Struthio camelus: one gene and its partners. The protein of the gene in region 1 purifies or fractionates together with the protein of each later gene. This does not show direct contact. Links are inferred from orthologs where the notes say so. Each region holds a gene or a part of one and is shown on either strand. Other genes may lie near its edges. The genes, in order: COPS3, DDB2 and BTBD2.

What was found.
Region 2: the proteins of COPS3 (region 1) and DDB2 purify together in Homo sapiens (affinity purification with mass spectrometry; 7 studies listed by BioGRID and IntAct, with this or other methods). This does not show direct contact. The link is inferred for Struthio camelus from reciprocal best matches to the Homo sapiens genes COPS3 and DDB2.
Region 3: the proteins of COPS3 (region 1) and BTBD2 purify together in Homo sapiens (affinity purification with mass spectrometry; 3 studies listed by BioGRID and IntAct, counting the BioPlex papers as one, with this or other methods). This does not show direct contact. The link is inferred for Struthio camelus from reciprocal best matches to the Homo sapiens genes COPS3 and BTBD2.

The regions. Positions count from the first base shown.
Region 1 is NC_090956.1:4,026,528-4,033,578, reverse strand, and holds the start of COPS3 (COP9 signalosome complex subunit 3), read right to left. Parts: upstream 3,028-7,051; 5' UTR 2,797-3,027; coding exon 2,742-2,796; intron 285-2,741; coding exon 155-284; intron 1-154. UniProt on the Homo sapiens protein: Component of the COP9 signalosome complex (CSN), a complex involved in various cellular and developmental processes.
Region 2 is NC_090946.1:39,425,732-39,432,858, forward strand, and holds the start of DDB2 (DNA damage-binding protein 2), read right to left. Parts: upstream 3,024-7,127; 5' UTR 3,003-3,023; coding exon 2,859-3,002; intron 2,711-2,858; coding exon of another isoform or gene 2,631-2,710; exon of another isoform or gene 2,462-2,630; intron 2,350-2,461; coding exon 2,163-2,349; intron 1-2,162.
Region 3 is NC_090967.1:3,243,081-3,251,053, forward strand, and holds the start of BTBD2 (BTB/POZ domain-containing protein 2), read right to left. Parts: upstream 3,064-7,973; 5' UTR 3,051-3,063; coding exon 2,461-3,050; intron 1-2,460.

The DNA of each region.
Region 1 (7,051 bases):
ATAAAGTGTGCATCACACAAGGAAATTAAGCACCATTATAAGAAGGGTGGAGTGAAAATATTTATGTCCATAAGTAAGATGTTTTGCTGACAGTTCATCACGTTTCCTGAGGTTTTGATACTAAGAGATTTAATTAAAGGCAAATAACACTTACAAGACAGCAAGGACGCCTAATGAGTGTTCCTGCACATCCAGGGCACCAAGCACTGTATCCAGATGGGAGAGATTTTTTGCTAGCAGTTCTCCACTTTTATTGATCAGCTCACAAAGCTGGGTCATTTGCCCTGAAATATGAAACATCGTCGTCAAGCTCTAATTAGAAAACACTCAGGCATTCCCATACTTTATTACTCCTTGCTTCCCTCTATAATCTGAGGGAGGAAAAAAAAAAAAAGTAATCTTACCCAGATAAATTACTTTTTTGGAATATACTAGGCACGGTTTTCAACAAGTGAGGTGCCAACAGAATATTTTTAAAAGGAAACAGTTAAGCTTCTGGCCCTTGAGACTGTGAAGAAAACCCTAAGAGCACAAACAGAACATGAAATCCAGTATCAACTTGCCTCATCGGAGAGAGGGCTTCAGGGATCTCGTATCAAAACGAAGCTTCACTTGAGCTAAGTCACCAAGACTTTGGTCAGTTTACTGTGATTCAACATTCTGTTTCATGCAAGTGTGATCTACACTTGTGCCTTCTAGGTATTACAGGGAAAAACAATTCCAAGACTAGTATTCCCTTCCAAAAAAACTGCAACAGCAGGCCTTGTTACTTGCTGCTTCTCAAGTGCCAGATCAACCTTTTCAGGTCTGCTTATAAACTTTTTTTTTTTTTGAAATTACAACTAAATATATAGACTAGAGGGTTAAGAAAGTGTCTTTAAAATTTACTTCATATAGTTAGAACTACAGTGTTATTTTATTTGCAGGAGCTATGAATACAGCATGAAAGGCAAATATTTTGAATTAGGAAAGTATGCTATACCAAGAAACCTTACAAAGAAAGCAAAGACAGATTATCATGAACTGCTTTCAAAAATCTTTTTTTTTTTTTTCCCAAAATTACTTAAAAGCTTTCCCCTTTCTAAACCAGAATTTCTTTTCAATTTTCAATCCCTGGAAAAGAAAAGGAGAAAGAAGAAGCAGCAGAGGTTATCACACCTTTACAGAAATCATCATGAGATGAGGGTAATACTATGCGAGTAATGAAAAAAAACTTATATCCCCCCTAAAAGGGCAATCTACCTGCTCTGCTGCTATCACCTAGACTCCCCTTTAAAGTGCAAGTTTTTTATTTTTATTTTTTTATAAGTAGAAATACCCACATCGGGTCAGACAAAGGTCTATTTATCTCATCTGCCATGCAACCAAACGCTGACGACCAGAGAACAACACTGCAAGCATACGTACTTCTCCTGTACGCTCTCATAACCTCCAATAGTTCGTGCTCATGGATGTCCTGCCTTATAAGAAGTGCCTAGCTGGCTAATCCCTAATGGAAGAACTTCCATGAAGTGACCCGTTTCCTCTTGAGCAGTTAGCATCCACAAAACCTTGCAAAAAGAAGGTCCACAGCTGAACTACATATGTACAAAGAAGCACCTTTTTTTTGTTGTTTTGTTTGTTTTGTACCTGATCTTGCAGGCACGAGTTGTCGCTTGCATCTGATACCACAAGTATAAATTCTATAGACTTGATGAGTTAAAGCATAAAACAAGAGAAAAATTGAGCTCTACCCAAATATAACTACCAGAGAAAAAGCCTGGGGCCATAGAAGAAAGTATCAGTTCTTGATGACGTCCAGGGAGCAAACGTCCCATGCAGAGAAAAAACAGAAAACACGCTTTCGGGAGCATCAGTACAGCAAGAAGATTCAAGAACTAGGAAATACTGTACCCACACACAGGAAAATTAGGAGTTTGGCGATAAAACTGAGAAAGCCTAACTGAGGATATTAAAACACCTTCCAAACACTCGGCTATGAGAACTCCTATGTATAGTCTCAGGCCTATACATATCTATCATATGCTTCTATGGTAGGCCAAAAAAAAAAAAAAATCTCAGCAGTGGAGACAGAAGAGCTTTTCAGTGCCCCAAAAACAAAGGCGGTGTTTTTCTGCCCATATTCCGTTTTGCCCACCTGAAGAAGAGTACTTTAACGTACTCCTCCTGAAATGTATATGCTCAGCAGTTCGGTGACAAGATAGTGTATACCCTATCAGTTAAGGTCCCTCTTATGTCACCTCTTCCCCCTCCCCTTGATTCCAAGGCTTAGATTTTGGCAAAGCTGCCTGCATCTTCTTCAATTCACTCACCCGGGGGCTCTAACTACCCCAAAAAAAGAGACTGGTTTGCAGCTGCCCTGGGAGAGGACGCGATGAGCAAGGAGGGCACAGCCTACCCACCATGCCCTGTCAAACCGGCCCAGGCTCAACCCTCCAGGGCCCCCTCTGAAGGCGCAGTAAGGGGGCCCCAAAACTCCCGCCCGGAGGGCGAGCGAGGGCCCGGCCGGGCCCGCCCCCCCCCGCTCCTCGCAGCAGCGCTGCTCCAGGGGGCCCGCCCGCGCCCTCCGCACCTGAGGGAGGGCCGGGGGACGGGGCAGGCCGCGGGCCGCCCCCCTCCTCCCCTCGCCGCCGCTGCCGCCGCCTCCCACGGGCTCCCGGCGGCGCCGGCCAGGCCGCTCTCGGCCTCGGGGCGAGGCGGCGGGCGGCCCCGCTCCCCGCGCGGCTCCCCCCCGCGGTCACCTTGGGCCGAGAGCTGCCGGACGCTGTTGACGAACTGCTCCAGGGCCGACGCCATCTTGGCGGCTGGCGGCGCGGCCGCGCGCGCGCTGCGGGCGGGGCGGGGCGGGCGGGGGAGGGAGGGAGGGAGAGAGGGCAGGAGGGGGCGGCCCGGCCCGGGAGCGGCGGGGGAAGCGGGAAGGGGCCTGCGGCACGGGCGCTGCCGCCGCCGGCCAATCAGCCGCCGCTGCGGGAGCCGCGAGACGCCCGCCGCCGCGCGTCACTTCCGCCGCGGCCCCTGCTCTCGCGAGAGCGGCGGCCGCCCACCCCGCCCGCCGTGGTCGCCGTGGCAACCGCCGCCTTCCTCTCCCCGCCGGAAGCGCCCGCCCCGCTCCCCGGGCCCGGGAGGCCATCTTAGTGCGGGAGGCCGTGACTCAGCAGGGTTGGGAGGCGAGGCCGGTGACGTCATGATGGCGTCACCCGCCCCTGCTTGCGTCACGGTGTCAGGGCCTGCCTCCCGCCTCGGGTTCCCGGGCCGCCCCCCCCTGCTTCTCCCCAGTGCGTGACGTCATGCGGCCGTCCATGCGACGTCAGACGTGCACGCGGCCTGCAGTGACGGTCCTTCAGCTGAGGTGGGCAGCCAGGGCGACGGCCTGCCCGCTGCGAAGGGCTTTCCCGCGGGAGGTTAAGCGTCAGCCCCCGCGCGGGGCCGGCGGCGGTCACGCCGTGGCGGTGGGGCCTGCGGCGGGTGCCGCTTGCCTCCCGCCGGCTCCCGCGGGAGCCTCGACAGCACCTGCCCACGAATCCCCTCGCGTGCTGCTCTCGTGCGGTGGCGGGTTTTTACCCGCCTTCACATGGGGAGTGACTTCATAACGAGACCTGGTTCTTCGTAGCTGTGTTACCTCTCTTACAGGGGCTGAACTCAGTGGCTGCCAAGTGATCGTGTACAGTTACGTTGCCTCCTGTCGGGGAACAACGTTTGCATAGTTGGTTCCAAGGAGCAGTGCTGTTCACTCAGTTATATAATCGCAGGCATGTTTTCCATCCCTACCGGAGCCAAACTTGTCGGTACGCTGTCCTGAGCTGCTAAGGGCAGGGAATTTGTTGGGGCTGGGAGGATGTCCTTCGACACACCACAAACAAGGAAACCTTTTTCTATGGCATGAATGACGTGTATGCATTCTCTCGCTGCTTAGAAATGCCAGGTATGTTGAAATCCCGTTCTTTGCCATGAGCATGATGCATCTGGTGTGAGCGAGAGCAGAATATGGACTTGAAACATCACAGACTTTCCCTCGTAACCTCTCTGTATGTTTTACATTATGTACAACACGGCTGTCAGGAATTCTGTTCCTTTCTTTATTCAGTCTGAGACCGTCACCCAAATCACTTGATCTCTGCAGCTCATTTGCCCTCTATGTGAAACAGGGATAACATATTCCCCTGAAAAATATTCTGGAATTGAGATGAAATATTCTAGAATTGGAAAGTCCTGTTATTACTATCAACCAGTATCTCCTCTTTCCCAGCTCAGCACTTGCCTCATCTTGTTAGTCACCCTCTGCAGTCTTCTCCATCAGCTTTAATCCCCTAAATGTTTTGTTCACCACATTATTCTAACGCATGACCAAAGATCATACAAACCTTTACAGCAGGTAGTTTCTGTGACAGTCAGCCCTTAGAAATCTAATACCTTGAGTTCCTCTCTGCATAGTCCACTTATGACATGTCAACTCTTGTAGCACCATACATTATCGTCACATCTTAAGCGTTCTTCTGGGTCCTGATACCTTCTTTTAAAAGTTTCTGTCACCCATATGGGCAGAACCGCATCATATCTAATGAAAATCTGGGCAAAGTATAACTCCTCTCTGTGCATTGGTAGAAACACACATATTGTACGTTAAGGTTTAGCTGCCAAAATCATCGCATGGGTTACATATGCACATTGTGCCCCAAAACATGTACTAGCACATCAGCTCCAAAACAGGTATGGACAGACACCGCAGAGGGGAGAGCGTCTGTGGCAACAAGCAGGCAAGGGGAGATTAACGGGTGTTGCGGGGCACTGAAACACAGACACCCTGAAGGAAAGGGTCTCGCCCCATGCGAGAAGTCAGGAAACTGCGGCAGCGAAGCATTTTGGCCAAGAACATCAGCTCTGGGTCGTGCCACCTCTCGCTACGCTGCCTCCCTTTGGGACCAAGCGCCCAGAGTGGGTATCTCCCACCCGCATTGCCTCGGTGGCATGTCACCTGGACCAGGTGTGGGTGCAGCTCACCCTGGCTATGCGCGGAGGGGGCACACGCCGGGGCACGCGTGGCTGCAGCCCACCCTGGCCGCCTGGAGTGGGCGCAGAAGGGGCGCACCCCGGGGCACACGTGTGCGCAGCCCACCCTGGCTATGCACGGAGTGGGTGCACGCCAGGGCACGCGTCGGTGCAGCCCACCCTGGCTGTGCCCGGAGGGGGTGCACCCTGGGGCACGCGTGGCTGCAGCCCACCCTGGCTGTGCCCGGAGGGGGTGCACGCCAGGGCACGCGTGGCTGCAGCCCACCCTGGCTGTGCCCGGAGGGGGTGCACCCTGGGGCACGCGTGGCTGCAGCCCACCCTGGCTGTGCCCGGAGGGGGTGCACGCCGGGGCGCGCGTGGCTGCAGCCCACCCTGGCTGTGCCCTGAGCGGGTGCAGAAGGGGCGCACGCCGGAGCACGCGTGGCTGCAGCCCACCCTGGCTGTGCCCGGAGGGGGTGCACCCTGGGGCACGCGTGGCTGCAGCCCACCCTGGCTGTGCCCGGAGGGGGTGCACGCCGGGGCACGCGTGGCTGCAGCCCACCCTGGCTGTGCCCGGAGGGGGTGCACGCCGGGGCACGCGTGGCTGCAGCCCACGCTGGCTGTGCCCGGAGGGGGTGCACGCCGGGGCGCGCGTGGCTGCAGCCCACCCTGGCTGTGCCCGGAGGGGGTGCACGCCGGGGCACGCGTGGCTGCAGCCCACGCTGGCTGTGCCCGGAGGGGGTGCACGCCGGGGCACGCGTGGCTGCAGCCCACCCTGGCTGTGCCTGGAGGGGGTGCACGCCGGGGCACGCGTGGCTGCAGCCCACCCTGGCTGTGCCCTGAGCGGGTGCAGAAGGGGCGCACACTGGGGCACGCGTGGCTGCAGCCCACCCTGGCTGTGCCCGGAGGGGGTGCATGCCGGGGCACGCGTGGCTGCAGCCCACGCTGGCTGTGCCCGGAGGGGGTGCACGCCAGGGCGCGCGTGGCTGCAGCCCACCCTGGCTGTGCCCGGAGGGGGTGCATGCCGGGGCACGCGTGGCTGCAGCCCACCCTGGCTGTGCCCGGAGGGGGTGCACGCCGGGGCACGCGTGGCTGCAGCCCACCCTGGCTGTGCCCGGAGGGGGTGCACGCCGGGGCACGCGTGGCTGCAGCCCACGCTGGCTGTGCCCGGAGGGGGTGCACGCCGGGGCACGCGTGGCTGCAGCCCACGCTGGCTGTGCCCGGAGGGGGTGCACGCCGGGGCACGCGTGGCTGCAGCCCACCCTGGCTGTGCCCGGAGGGGGTGCACGCCAGGGCGCGCGTGGCTGCAGCCCACCCTGGCTGTGCCCGGAGGGGGTGCATGCCGGGGCACGCGTGGCTGCAGCCCACCCTGGCTGTGCCCGGAGGGGGTGCACGCCGGGGCACGCGTGGCTGCAGCCCACCCTGGCTGTGCCCGGAGGGGGTGCACGCCGGGGCACGCGTGGCTGCAGCCCACGCTGGCTGTGCCCGGAGGGGGTGCACGCCGGGGCACGCGTGGCTGCAGCCCACGCTGGCTGTGCCCGGAGGGGGTGCACGCCGGGGCACGCGTGGCTGCAGCCCACCCTGGCTGTGCCCGGAGGGGGTGCACGCCGGGGCACGCGTGGCTGCAGCCCACCCTGGCTGTGCCCGGAGGGGGTGCACGCCGGGGCACGCGTGGCTGCAGCCCACCCTGGCTGTGCCCGGAGGGGGTGCACGCCGGGGCACGCGTGGCTGCAGCCCACCCTGGCTGTGCCCGGAGGGGGTGCACGCCGGGGCACGCGTGGCTGCAGCCCACCCTGGCTGTGCCCGGAGGGGGTGCATGCCGGGGCACGCGTGGCTGCAGCCCACGCTGGCTGTGCCCGGAGGGGGTGCACCCTGGGGCACGCGTGGCTGCAGCCCACCCTGGCTGTGCCTGGAGGGGGTGCACGCCGGGGCACGCGTGGCTGCAGCCCACCCTGGCTGTGCCCGGAGGGGGTGCACGCCAGGGCGCGCGTGGCTGCAGCCCACCCTGGCTGTGCCCGCAGGGGGTGCACGCCGGGGCACGCGTGGCTGCAGTCCACGCTGGCTG
Region 2 (7,127 bases), on another chromosome or scaffold:
TAACCCCCGCCAATGACTTGGAAACGTGCAGTGGGAGGGGGTGAGCTTATAGCAGAGGGAAGGTCAGACTTGTGACCAGCAGAACACCACCACCTGAAAATTCCCCAAGCGTAGTAACACAGGAGTTCCCATGCAGTTCCTGAAACGCCTGCTCGTGAATCAGAACATTCGATCTGCTTGTGCTGTAGCCCATACAGCCTGCCTACAGCACTGCGAGTTTGGTTTTTGATAATAGACTTGCTGACGCCTCATCGCCTGAAAACCTTTCTGTTCAGCGTGAGTTTTGCTGAGAGCACAGACTGCTTCGACATTTTGTTCGTGTTCCAAGTTTTATCTTCAGGGACCTTTGCATGAAAACAGGATCCGTTCAGTCCCATGTCTGTGATCTAATCGTTCCCACAGCAATGGTCCATAACACCCCAGGGGATCTAGATGTCAAATGGCAAGGAAGCATTTCTTAAGAAACAAAAATCCTATTTTCATGTCAGGATATTAATAATAAAATAGGACCAAAACACAGACATCATCCTTCATGACGAGACAGTAAAGGAAATCTTTCTTTAATGCAACACTGTAGCCTAGAGATGCAGTGGTGTGACACTAAACTTCTTTATTCACATGCCAGCATAGCAGGCATGTGTCACACCTGCTGAAATAGATATAAAAACATCTCCATTCAAATTCCTCGTTTTCACAGAAGAGTTAGCATCTTCAGTACTTTCTTCAAAGGTGATACTAGAGGGGTATTTTTTCAGATTCAGTTTTGTTAGGAAGGATAATTTGTTAAGAAGAGAAACTTTCGGACTTTTCTGAATCCAGGGGAAGAAATGTTTTTGATTGCAAGAAACTGAATCTCTCTTATGTTACTTGGGGAAAAAAATCATGTTTTCCAAAGTACATAAAAATCAAAATTGGGACACAGAACGGAAAAGCTCAAATGCAAAAGTTTTTGTCTTCTTGTTTTTAAGAAAGGTGTAAGGGAAAAATAAGCTTGGCCTCGTTTTCCCAAAGTACTAGCCACTTCCAATTCCCTCTGAATCTTATGGGAACTGCAAAACTCACCAAATCTGAAAATCAGGCCGTGAAGTTACAGTAAAAATCTTGTAGCTAAATTAACTAAAAAAGTGTTAATTATCCACCATCATAAGCAGAACTCCTTTTAAACAGAATATTTTATCTTCATTCACTATTCACACTGTCAACTGATCTGAAGGTTGGAGTTACACATCAGAGAATGTGAATGTACAAAATGGCAGAACTCCTGTATCTCCAAATATTAAAAAAAAAAACCCTACAGTAATTTCTGGATCTTAAAAACAAAACAAAAAAAAAGGCACAGAAAGTGTATACTATTTCCACACCAGGCAATAACTCTACTGGTCTCCTAAGCAAAACGTGGAATCAAAAAAATAATGCCCGTAGAAACATGAAAACAATCGTTAGTCTAACCGAAGTCTATACAACTCTCCTGACAATGCAAAGCATGAATCTTTCCAATATCTACGAACTCAACCAGCTCCGTCTCATCATAGCAAAAACGTTTAAGAGACGTTTTCCTAAATTACATACAAGAGAAAAAAAAAAAAAAGCAGATGTGGAGAAGTGATTAGTGGAATTCTGTCCAGTCTAATATAAATACCTAAATATAGAGGTAGAAAGGATGTAGCCTTCCTGCCTACTGTAGGTAAAGTCAGAATATGCAAAGAATATGCCAGTTTAGACTGTATGCTAAACTGTAGGATACCAAGCTTACGATTATGAAACTGCATTAAGAACTACATGACAAAAACAATACATTACAGGGATCGGTCTGTCCTACAATAAAGCAGACATCTGGTAAATCAGGAATTCCACAGAACTTAATCACCCTCCCGTGAGCTGCGACAGAGACTTCAGTGAGCAGGCGTCCAGCAAGGGTAGCAACTTTCAAAAATGAAACATGCATACACATGCACGCTCATTAGACAGATAACTGGAGACTGTAATACCCCACCACGCATCTGTGTATCACTTAATCCTTAATCCTTAATATAATCCAATCCAAACGCTCGTGTTTGAACAGGCTGCAGGCTTGCTGGCATCTTCCCTCTTCAGCTAGTCGATGCCTGTCATTTAGGGTAAATCTGCCTGGCAAAACCAGCAAGAACCTGAGGAAACGTTACCTATTTTCTCTGGGGGTTTGGACGTTTTTCTCACAAACAACCTCTTTGCTTGTGGCTCGTTCTCTATTTCTTCATAGTCTTGTTTCCTTTTCCCAGCTGATTTTGCCAGTTCTGCTAGCTGATGCTCATGTGTCCTCACATGCTTCTTGTCCTTGGGCTGGTTCTCCAGAGCCATTCTGTCTGACCACTGAAAGCGAACAAAGCGTGGAAGGTAAGGCTGCCATACGCTTTTTAGCCGGAAGACAGAGGAGAAAAGGGGACTGAAACACGTCCCAGCGGTCTGGACGCAGTGACTGTACCTGCGCCCTCCTCCATCCGCCTGGCGCTGCCCTCGCGTTGCGCTCTACCGGAGCAGGTTCAATAACCTCTTCCTTGCTCGCACGTGAAAACGAACGCACCCCAGGGCACCCGAGTTGTGTTCGGGCCACAAACGCCTCCGCGGAGCTTTTAAGCTTAAAACCCACAGACCTGCGTAAAGTACCGCTGGGACACCACGTAACGCCGTAGCTGGTTTCTCCGGGAGCTCACTGAGACCTCTTGGGGGGCAGCTAAGGGGAGAGACCGGAGCTTTTACGAAGACGACGCGGCCTGCAGCGCACCGCCCGCAGCAGCGCCCAGGCCGCCGCCCCCGCCGCCCGCCGCCCGCTCCTGCACCCACCCGCCGGCGCCAGGCCTCGCCCGGCCGCTGCCTCTCACCTGGGCTCCGGCGGCCTCGGCTCCCCCGGCCGGCGGCAGCGGGCACCTCCCCGGCCGTTTCATAAGCGGGGCGGGGAAGCGGGCTAGCGGCTCTTCCGCCTCCGCGGCGGCGGTAAGCCCGCAGGCCGCCGGCGCCCCCGCCATGGCGGCCCGGCCCGGCCCCTGGCGGCGGGCCCCGGCGCACAGCCGCCGCCCGGCTCCGCGCTCGGCCGCGCCGGGGCCAAAGGTGCTGTTACGTCTGCGGCGGCCGCCTGGCAGCTTATTATTATTTTGGGGGGCACAGGTCTTCTAGCCTTACATGCTTTTTTTTTCTTTTTAATTGTTATTTTTTTAAACAGAGCGCCGCTTTGGCCTATTGCAGCAGCCTGGCAGGGGCCTGTAGCAACCCCCCCCCCCAAAAAAAAAAAAAAAAAAGATACTGCTTCAAAATACAGCTTTCTCAAGAAGACATATCTGAGGGCTGAGTTGTGTTGGGACTCAACTGCAGAAAAAAAAAAAAGGTAGGCTCTTTAAAGGTAGGTAGAGAAGTCCCAGCAGCGTGGGTTACGCAGTAATTTCTAATGCGCGGCAAGGTGACTCGGGCACTGCTGGCTCTTGTGCAACGAAGCGCGCCAGGAAGGCGAACGGCGAGCCGCGAGGCGGCGGGAGCCCCGAGCGCCACCAGCGACGGCCGCCCCGGGGCCTCGGTGGGCGCCCCCGCCGCCGGGAGCGGGGGCACCCCCTGCTTCAGGTCCACCAGCAGCTATGCCGAGTGATTAAGGTCCGGTCATCCACACAGCTGCCGTTGAACCCAGGTCCTAAAATAGCTGTCACCACTCCTTGGGTTGTTGTTGGGTGGTTGTTTTTTTTTTTTTTGCTATCTTAGAAAATGCATAGAAAAATTACCAAAAGAAACAACAGGGACCCAAACCACACGCTGGACTTTTTTTGCTGAACTATAACAACACTGTATTAGTTCCTGGCACCCTAGGACTAAGTATCAGAATAACATAGAAAAAGTCATAACCCCTGACAGACAGCACTTAATGTCTTTGAGAACATATTAACACATTTGCTAATTAGGTTGACATGTTTTATCAAGCATTTTTATAATACATAACATTGTTCTGAGAACTTACCCATTAACAAGAAATACTGTTAGTAATAATTCAAAGTAGTACTTGCCTTCAGCCCTCAGAAGCCTTGAAGGCTTGATTTCTAAGAAGGGAAATAACATGGGAAAATATCCTTCTTCTCGTAACAGTGATTAGCAGTTTCGTCCACAGGTTTGCGGAAGTCATCGGAGGAGGAGGCACAATCTGTGGAGTTCATCAGGAATCACCAATAAATTTCAAATTAAACTATGTAATTCTTAACATCTGCTTTTCAGATACTTTAAAAGGGTACGTAGCTATGTTTGTAACTGGAAAAAACAGGCCTCGATCCCAGTCGTCTTCAAGTGGATTGAAAGACATCTACTGATTTCCATGATCTATGTACTGCTCCCAAAGTAAACGCTGATCCTGTTATCCAAGTTATTTCCAGCAAAGATGTGCACTTCCTATCCCCCTTCCATTCCTCTGCCTCCAGGGTGAGCTTCCTCGGGCAGAGAACATGCATAGTAACCTAGGGATTTCCCGCTTTGAGCTGTCAATCAGGGCTGTCCTTTTTTTAATCAATTACACCAAGTTTGCTTTCCCTCTAGAGAGTCGCCAGATAGTTTTGTAATTACTATTTACTACGGACAAGAAGAGCAGATAACATATGCAGATAAAAGAAACCCCACTGACCCAGGGTTCCAGAGATAAGTATCGCTGTGCTGGTACGGTACGAAGGACACGCTGCATGCTGAGCAGTCCAGAGAAAGAGTAATTGGAAAAATGTTCTTAAATGTATTTACAGTCTCACACTCTTCAGACCCGATAGTAGTAATGTATGCAGCAAAGTCAGGCAAGTATAATTACGGGTGGGCAGGATATGAGTCTTATTTTTACGATGCCTTTTGTCTGACCTATGATTTTAGTAAAGTTCTGCCTTGGTTATGCATGGCTCTCCAACAGAGAATACAGCAGTGTCGTTACCAGGTCTGGTAAAGCTATACTGCCATTAAGACCATCAACTTGATGGTGTATGTAATAGTATTAGGTATTTTGCCTCCTTGTTGCCAGGATCTTTTTCCAAAGCATGAATGGTTTTGGCTGCTTTAGCGTGACTACTCATGTAAAGAGTACCATCACAGCAACTTGAATTTGGCCTGCATGTGGAAGCGAGCCTGTGTTCTACTAAAAAGTAGGAAAAAACCTATAATCCTCAAGAGATACAAGAGAGAGTAAGTATCATGCTCTCCGACCTCCTTCTAGCCCATGACCTTAACTAAGCTGCCAGGTAATGGGAAAACAGACAAAAAAGTCACTGTTTTAATCACCTCATTTACCTGAGCAATCCATTTTCCCAAAGCTATTCCAGCCTTAGAGGAAAGGCGTGAAGCTGCCACGTCATGCAGGACCCATGCCATTTAATCAGTGTTGGTGAAAGGGTGCAGAGGGCCAGATCCCCAAATGGAAAGCATCTATTTTAGATGCTCTGTGCATGGCTATCAATATCAAAACCAGTATGAAAATCAGCATATGAAAACACAGGATAAATGCTGGATGTAGCATATTAATCTATGACAGATTTTTTTCCTTTTTCTGCTCTTCATTAATGTACATAAAATTGATGATGGAAAGGAAATCTCGAATTAGGGAGCATCTATGCCAAACACCGTTTTTTTTTTTCAGTCGAATATGAAGTTGGTGCTTATATTTTCAGCTATGATTAACTTTTAGGATAAGTTAAAGATCTCGCGTCACTTTTTGAAAGGATACTCATTGTAACACCAACTCAGGGACTTCTTGCGGGTGCCCATCTCCCCGGGAACTCCACGCGCATTAAAAGCGAGCAAAGGATCGGGGCCAAAGCAAATTAAGCAGAATGGTTTCTAACATCTGCTTTCCAACACAGGACTTCCTCGCACGGTAGCACTCCGAAGAAGCAGGAGCACGGATGTGTGGCACGCTCTTCCTTCTGTGAGGCGCTCCGTCTTCCCTTTCTCCACCGATTGAATAAACGTCATTGTGAACTCGCTCCTTGGCGCTGTGTCCCAAGTCGCTTGGAAGCAAAGTAGGGGCAAGGGGCCAGCCAGGCCTCGCAGCTCGCCTGGCGTAAGCCCTGCCCTAGCGTCATGGCAAATCACGCCCAAGGCCGGGGTTGGAAATGGAAACTCTGGCGCGCGAGCTCCCGGCGCTCGGAAGGAGCTGGTGTCACCCGAGGGGCTGCGGGGACTTAGAGGTGAGCTGTGGATGAGGCAGAAAATGTTTTTCAGAGGAAAAGAGAGCGAGCGACCGAGCCGGGCCGGCGCGGCGGAGGCTGGCCGGGAGGGCCGGGAGCAGGGCACCGGGCGAGAGCGGCGGCGGCGGCGGGCGCGCGGGGCCAGGCCCGACGCGCCAGGGGCTGCCAGCGAGGGGCTGCTGCGCGCCCCGCGGGTCGCCGCCCGGCTGCTGTCGCCCAGTCCCTAACAGCGGCACCAAAAAGCAGAAACGCCAACCTAGAAAACCCGGAGAAGAAGCCCCCCTGCGGCGGGGGCCCCGCTCCCCCGGCCCACAGCCCCTTAATTGGATCGGGAGCTCCGGGCGGGGGCGCCGCGCCGCGTCCCGAGTGCCCGGGCCGGGCCGGGCCCGCCCCGCCGGCAGCCGCTGGCGGCGGGAGGCGGGCCGGGAGCCCCCGTGTCCCGCGGCTGAAATAGGGGGAGGGCCCGGCCCGCTCCCAGCCCAGGTGGCCGCCCGCCCGCCGCCCTGCTCCGCTCCGCGCCGTGCCGCGCCGCGAGGTAGGTGTGAGGGTCGCCCCCGCCGCCGCTTCCCGACCTGCTCGCCGCGGGGGGCCGGGGCGGGGGCAGAGCCCGGTCCGGTCCCCGCCGCCGCCTCCTCCCGGTGGGAGGCGGTGGGGCAGCTCGGCGCGGCAAACCAGCTGGCGGCTTCAAGGGAAAAGTTTCCTCACGGAAAGGGGGCGGGTGGGGGAGGCGCTGCCCGGCCGGTCGTTGCCCGCGGGGAGCGGGGCGGCGGCGGCGGCGCGGACAGCGGCTGGTAGGAGCGGCGGGGCCGGGGCCGGGCCGGGAGGGCTCCGCGGTTCGCGGCAGGTCGCGGCGGCGGGCGCCGGGTCCCCCCGCAAGCCGCCGGCAGCCGGCCCGGACTGCTCGGCCGGGCTCCCGCGGCGGGGACACAGGAGCCCCTTTGTGCCGGCTCCATGTTGAGC
Region 3 (7,973 bases), on another chromosome or scaffold:
AACGCACACACCGATCCCTGTGTCCTTTGACGAGGGCCAAACAATCTTGGAGAACGTTCTTCCTCTCCACCGCCACCCGTAAAAACAAGGACTGCTTCCGAGGGAAACCTACGGATTTGTTTTTTCCTGCTGTGCTTCTGCTGGCTGCTCAGCCAACACACCTCGGTCACACCTACCCTTCAGGGAAAACACTGCGCGACTGGAAGTCAGACCCTGCCACACGATTTGGGAAGCCTAATAAGAAACATTAAGTCAAATCTGAGGGTTTGGAGAGATTTGATGCAACAACAGCCGACCAACCCAGAAAGCAGAGTCACCCCTAAGCACGTCCACACCATTAGGACCACGTCAAAGACTAAACCACAGCTCTGGATCGCCGCGGACCCGGTGATCCCTGCTCCATCCATCCCTGCCAGACCGGGTCTCCGAGGCGTCGGAGGCCATGGTTTTGCAGAGCGGAGACGGGCCTGGCTATCACGTTACCGCTGGGGCGCGCACCCTCCGGTTAGCGGCTCGCAACAACAGATAAAACACAGAGCAAAGTTACCTGATCTCTATTTTTGCTTTCGGGAGGGGAGAGAAGCCCAACCCCTGTCAAACCCCAGCAGTAGCCGATGGCACATCACCCCCCAGAAGGCATCGGGGAGCCACAGCAATCCCCGATCCCTGTCCCGCAGCAGAGCCCGTGCCTCCCGCCAGCTCCGGCCCCCCGCTCTCTTTCGCAAGCCACGCTCCTCCTCAGCATCCAGCCAGGCCCACAGGGCCAGGAAGGCACCCGTCACCCCACGCCCGGCTGGGCCTCCCTGGGGCACCCCAAAGCATCTGCACAGTGCCTGGCTGAGGCGCCCGGAGGATGCTCCCTCCTGCCCCCCCCATAGGCTCAGATGCCTGGGTCCCAGCCCCACGGCACCCCAAAAGCCTGTACCCTCCCCACCTCCTCCTTCCCCTGGCCAGGCTCAGTTGCCTGGGTCCCTAGGCACCCTAAAGGCCTGTACCCCCCCACCTTTCCCCCCCCCCCAGCCAGGCTTGGGCACCTGAGTCCCTGGGCACCCCAAAGGCCTGTACAACCCCCTCCAGCCACCCCCAGCCAAGCTCGGATGCCTGAGTCCCTGGGCACCCCAAAGGACAGGACTCCCCCCCCCAACCAGCCTCCGACACCCGGGTCCCCAGCACCCCAAAGGCCTGTACCACCCCCCCTCCCCGGCCAGCCTCCGACACCTGGGTCCCCGGCACCCCAAAGGCCTGTACCACCCCCCCTCCCCGGCCAGCCTCCGACACCCGGGTCCCCGGCACCCCAAAGGCCTGTACCACCCCCCCTCCCTGGCCAGGCTCAGACACCCGGGTCCCCAGCACCCCAAAGGCCTGTACCACCCCCCCTCCCCGGCCAGCCTCCGACACCCGGGTCCCCGGCACCCCAAAGGCCTGTACCCCCCCCCCCGGCCAGCCTCCGACACCCGGGTCCCCGGCACCCCAAAGGCCTGTACCCCCCCTCCCCGGCCAGCCTCCGACACCCGGGTCCCCAGCACCCCAAAGGCCTGTACCCCCCCCCCGGCCAGCCTCCGACACCCGGGTCCCCGGCACCCCAAAGGCCTGTACCACCCCCCCTCCCCGGCCAGCCTCCGACACCCGGGTCCCCGGCACCCCAAAGGCCTGTACCCCCCCCCGGCCAGGCTCCGACACCCGGGTCCCCGGCACCCCAAAGGCCTGCACCCCCCCTCCCCGGCCAGCCTCCGACACCCGGGTCCCCGGCACCCCAAAGGCCTGTACCACCCCCCCTCCCCGGCCAGCCTCCGACACCCGGGTCCCCGGCACCCCAAAGGCCTGTACCACCCCCCCTCCCCGGCCAGCCTCCGACACCCGGGTCCCCGGCACCCCAAAGGCCTGCACCCCCCCTCCCCGGCCAGCCTCCGACACCCGGGTCCCCGGCACCCCAAAGGCCTGCACCCCCCCTCCCCGGCCAGCCTCCGACACCCGGGTCCCCAGCACCCCAAAGGCCTGCACCCCCCCTCCCCGGCCAGCCTCCGACACCCGGGTCCCCGGCACCCCAAAGGCCTGTACCACCCCCCCTCCCTGGCCAGGCTCAGACACCCGGGTCCCCAGCACCCCAAAGGCCTGTACCACCCCCCCTCCCCGGCCAGCCTCCGACACCCGGGTCCCCGGCACCCCAAAGGCCTGCACCCCCCCTCCCCGGCCAGCCTCCGACACCCGGGTCCCCGGCACCCCAAAGGCCTGTACCACCCCCCCCCCCGGCCAGCCTCCGACACCCGGGTCCCCGGCACCCCAAAGGCCTGCACCCCCCCTCCCGGGTCAGGCTCCGACACCCGGGTCCCCGGGCCCGCGGCCCCGCCGCAGCCCCCCCGCTGCCCGCAGCGCCCACGCGGGGCCGGGCGGGAGGCCTCCCCCGCTGCCCTGCCCGCCCCGCCGGCTCGGCCGCCGGGGCCCCCGGCGCGCGGTGCCCACCTGTGGGCCGGGATGCGCTGCGACCCGCGGCCCTTGCCCACCAGGAAGTGCACGTCGCTGAGCACCTCGTTGTTGAAGAGGAAGGCGAAGCGCTCCTGCACCGTGGGCTTCGTCGCCTGCCAGTTATAGACGGGCTCCCGCTGCAGCGCCCCGCCGGGGCCGCCCGCCCCGCCGGCCCCCCCGGCCGCCGCCGCCGCCGCCGCCGCCGCCGGGCCCCCCGCGCCGCCGCCGCCCGCCGCCGGGTTGGCGGCCCCGCACTGGTTGTAGGTGAGGCCGGGCGGCGAGGAGGGGGCGCCGTTGGTGCAGGCGGCGGCGGCGGCGCCGTTGCCCGGCGGCGGCGGCGGCGGCTGCGGGCAGGAGGAGGAGAGGCCCCCGGGGCCCCCGCCGCTCCCACCGGCCGCCATCTTGTGCGGCGGAGGCGCAGCAGCGGGCGGCGCGGGGCGGCGCTGCAGCAGCAGCAGCACCAGGAGCGGCGGCGGGCGGGACACGGCGGCGGCGGGCAGCAGGAGGGGGGCGGCGGCGATGGCGGCGGGGCGGGCGGCGCCGCGGCTGCTGCTGTGGATGCAGAGAGCCGGGCAGCAGCGGCGCATGGGGCTCGGCGCGGCGCCGCCGCCGGCCGGGCCAGGGGAGGGAGGGGAGGGGAGGGAGCGGCGGCGGCGGCGGGAGGGGAGGCGAGGGGAGGGGAGGGGAGGGGCGGCGGCGGGAGGGGAGGGGCGGCGGCGGGAGGGGCGGCGGCGGCGGCGGCAGGGGCGGTGGCGGCGGCGGCGGGAGGGGAGGGGAGGGAAGGGGCGGCGGCGGCGGCGGCGGTGGCAGCGGCGGTGGCAGCGGCGGGCGGGGCCGCACCGCACCGCCCCGCGCCGGGGGCAGCTCCGGGTGTGGGGAGGGCTGTGAGGGGCCGGGGGGCGATCGCTGAGGGGCAGGTCTGGGGGGTTGGGGGTCAGATTTGGGGGATGGGGGGGGCGATCCCGTGAGGAGCAGGTCTGGGGGGTGGGGGGCAGATTTGGGGGATGGGGGGGCGATCCCGTGAGGAGCAGGTCTGGGGGGTTGGGGGTCAGATTTGGGGGATGGGGGGGCGATCCCGTGAGGAGCAGGTCTGGGGGGTTGGGGGTCAGATTTGGGGGATGGGGGGGCGATCCCGTGAGGAGCAGGTCTGGGGGGTGGGGGTCAGATTTGGGGAATGGGGGGGGCAATCCCTGAGGAGCAGGTCTGGGGGTTGAGGGGCAGATTTGGGGGATGGGGGGGGCGATCCCGTGAGGAGCAGGTCTGGGGGGTGGGGGTCAGATTTGGGGGATGGGGGGGGCGATCCCATGAGGAGCAGGTCTGGAGGGTGGGGGGCAGATTTGGGGGATGGGGGGGCGATCCCGTGAGGGGCAGGTCTGGGGGTTGAGGGGCAGATTTGGGGGATGGGGGGGGCAATCCCTGAGGAGCAGGTCTGGGGGTTGAGGGGCAGATTTGGGGGATGGGGGGGCGATCCCGTGAGGGGCAGGTCTGGAGGCTGGGGGTCAGATTTGGGGGATGGGGGGGCGATGTCGTGAGGGGCAGGTCTGGGGACTGGGGGTCAGATTTGGGGGATGGGGGGGCAATCCCGTGAGGAGCAGGTCTGGGGGGTGGGGGGCAGATTTGGGGGATGGGGGGGCGATGTCGTGAGGAGCAGGTCTGGGGGGTGGGGGGCAGATTTGGGGGATGGGGCAGGTCTGGGGCATGAGGGGGGCAGGTCTGGGGGGTGGGAGGCAAGCCTGGAGAAGGAGAGGCAGATTTGGGGGAGTGGGGCATAGTTCTGGGCAGTGAGGGGCGCAGTCCCTGAGGGCAGATCTGGGGGTGGGGAGCAGATTGGGGGGGTGAGTGGGGCAATCCTGAGAGGGGCAGGTCTGGGGCGTGAGAGGGCAGATCTGGGGGGCGAGGGCAACACCCTCGTGAAGGGCATTTCTGGGCCAGAGGGGGCAGATGTGGGGCATGAAGGGGGGCAGTCCCGAGAGGGGCAGTTCTGGGGGATGGGGGGGCTGAGGGGGGCAGTTCTGAGGGATGAGGGGGGCAACAGCCACGAGGCAGATCCAGGGGGTAGGAGGGCAGCTACGTGAGGGGCAGGTTGGGGGGGAGCAAGGGGCAGTCCTTGAGAGGGGCAGTTCGGGGGGGGTATAGGGCCGGGGTGGGGTTGGAGGGGACATGGGGGGGGACAGTACTGAGAGGGGTGCGGGTGCAGGGGGCAATTCTGGAGCGTGAGGGCTGTGGGGCTGAGGGGGGGGCAGCTCGGGGGGGTGTGAGGGATGGGGGTGCAGGGGCAATCCTGTGGGGGAGGGAATTTTGGGGGGGTGAGGGGGCAGTTCTGGGGTTTATGAGGGGTGAATGGGGATGAGAAATTGGAGGGACCGTCCTGGGGGGTGAAGGGTGTGGGAGATGTGGGCCATGGTGTGGGGCAGTCCCAGGTGAGAGGAAACGTGAGGGGGTCTGGGGAGGAGGCAGGGGTGCAGGGGTATGTGGAGTGGGGGTGTGGGGCCAGAGGGGCAACCTGGATTGGGGTGGGCAGTTTGGGGGGCTGGGGAGGGCAGAGAGTTGGGTGCGAGGGGGGCTCCTGTGTCACCTTCCTGCTCTTACAAACCGCCTTTTCCTATAAAGCAGAGACCCAAACTTCCCTGGCATCCCAAGGACACGGCAATTGGTGCCCAGTAATTCCTCAAAATAATTAGCCCGGAGGGACTGGCTGCTTCTGCTGACGCACAGGACCTGCTTCCCCGCAAGCACAGCATTAACGCCTGCTACCGGGGAGTTTCGTGCAGGAAAGGCTGCTGCACGCAGGCCTCATCCCTCACCTGATACACGCTGCTGCCACCTCACTGTGGCTGTAGAGATCCTGCGAGATGTTGGTGCGCTCCCTTCCTCTGCCCTGCAAGATAGCTCTGCAGCAATGCATGCCGGCACACAGATAACAACAGATATTTATCTCCTTGCCAGCCAGCATGAGGTATGACATGGCACGGAGGACAGGAGGAATCTGAAAGGCAGAAAAATAATTAAGAGGCTCTGCCGTTGCCTTACTGTGATCTCAGTAACTGAACCATTAAAGCAAAGGTGATTTATTCTTCATGGGGTAATTACATTCCCCCTTTCTCTGTTATCCGCTCCCTGATCTGTGTTTGCCTCTTAGAGGTGCGTGCACGTGCGTTTGAGAGCAAATGTGCGGTCCTTGATTCAACGTGCTCAGTAACTATTGAGTAAGGAGACGTATTGTCCTCCCCTTCTGTTTTCTGCAGTTTTGCGTTATCATTTCTTTAATACACGATGGCATGCTGTTTATATCGATTCAAGGCTTAGAGACTCTTGTGTAGCTCGGGACTCTCACAGATCAATCGCTGTAGCCAGACATTGCCAGGGCCTAGCCCAGTGATACTATTACACCGTTGTTTTTGATCAAGAGCTGCCAGTCTGGTTTTGTATCATGTTCTCAAATACATATCATATGCCTGCTGCGTTACGTATAGTAGTGTTAAACAAATATACGCAGACAGGTTCTAGAGGCAAAGTAGGGGCTTAGTCTGGCAGAGGATCCTTTATGAGAGGCTTTCCAGAGTTAATAGTTCCATGGTCAAGTCTCGTGTTACAACACGAAAGGATTTTGGTACCAAAGTGCCACTTGAGAGCCCCAGCAAAGAGCAATGATCGTGTTTGCCTCTAGCCCTGCAGCAGAGCGTTTGCCCTGAGCCCTGTGACACTGGTCAGAAAAAATGATGAAAGGTTTGGATAACACTCCTTGTTGTCAAAGGCTCCAGAGGTGCAGCATGTAGCTTAACCAAAAGAAGGTTAAGGAGTGAGTTGGCTGCAATTCATTACTACCCGAGGTACAAAAACTTCAGTAGTAGCCTCTCCCTGCATCTAACAGGAGGAAATAAAAAGTTCTGCTGACTGGTTGAAGAACAGCCTAGAGGGCTGTGCTGTGTTTTGGGAGGGGGGGACAATGACTGGAGTAGGTACAGGTGTGGTGAAATCTCCCCCACTGGCAGGTTTCACTGGATTTTTTTAAAACTGTGTTGCACTTCAAATGAACTAATCTAGGAAACTCCTGCAACCTCCAGTTATGCTGGAGTTCAGAGCTGACTGTCGTAACAGTCCCCTCTGGTGTGTAGTCTGTGCATGTAGGAATGAGTAAGAGCCTTACTTTAGAGGGACGTTTTTCTTTTTCATTTGAAATCTTTCTTATGTTAATGATAACTGAGCATTAAGTGCAGAAGTGTTCTCTTTTTTAAAACTTTGTGTTTTTCATGCCGTTTGCTCAACACATCGCAGGCTCACACCCCGTTGCTGGACAGGCTGCTTCTATGCATCTTAGCATAGTACTTTTACTCTCAAAAACAATATCCACATATCTGGCAGCTGCCAGTAGGGAGGCTGTCCAGTCCCGGCTCTGTCCTCGTAGGCCATTGGATGCTTCATTCGGGCGATAAACGTTAGAGGGAGCTAAAGACTGCAGCATGCACCCCAGCGCAGGCCTGGAAGACTCGGAATTACGTTTTCTTGCACCCTGGTTGGCTTTTCTAGGGCAGATGTGCACCAGCCGGTGTGTCCCCACAGCCCTTAGGCTCCATGAAGGTCAGAAAAAGGCCTGGCCAAGGAGGCCTGGCCTGGCCTCCGCACCTAGGAGGTGCGTGAACATCCATCTGGCCACTGCTAATGGGGACAGAGGTGGAGGAGGACAAAGCCTCTCTCCTGTCATATCCCCCTTCCCAAACCCCAGCAAATCCAAGGCTGGGCCATCCTCGAGAAATGATATCTCCAAGGGGTCGGTGCATCTCACAGGGAGGGTGCCAGCTTCTCCAACATGCAAGGAGGGGATTCAGCACCTCCCCCCCACCCTGAGCCCTCTTGCTGATTTGGGGCCTGGTGAGAGATTTGGGCAGGTGATCCCTCCCCACTGACTGCATTTGGAGCTATTCAATCTGTTCAACTCTGAGCTCCAGGGCTCCTCCGCTCCTTTCTGTGCTCTACCCATCATATGGGCCATGCCGCAGCTCATTAGACAGATCCTATTTATTCACCGTGTGATGAATAAATAGAGAACAATTGATGAATAAATGAAGAACAATTCCTATTGTGCAGGTAAAACCAGGCCCAGCGTAAAGAAACACAGAAATAAGAAGGGATAATATGGATAGCACAGAAAGCCATTTAGGTCACTGTCACCTTGGCAGGGGAGCCTACAGCAAGCTCTGTGGGATGGGGCAAGGTGTTTGCTGCAACGTCCCAGGACCAAGGCGCTGTTATTCCTGGATGTGACAGCCAACAGATTTCTTCACAAATAAGGCACTCAGCAAAAGCCAGTGCTATTTTAGACTAGGTTTTGATAAGGAACTATACATAATATGATAGACACCCGAACCACAGTAATAGCTCTGGGTGGAGGAGTCAGTTTAATTCAGTTGCCGAAGGCTGACCAAATACAGGGCTGGAGGTTCTTGGTTGCACAAGAGCAAGCTACAAGCAGCTGAGGGTCATGAAATCAGTGCGGCTGGAGAGCCTGATGG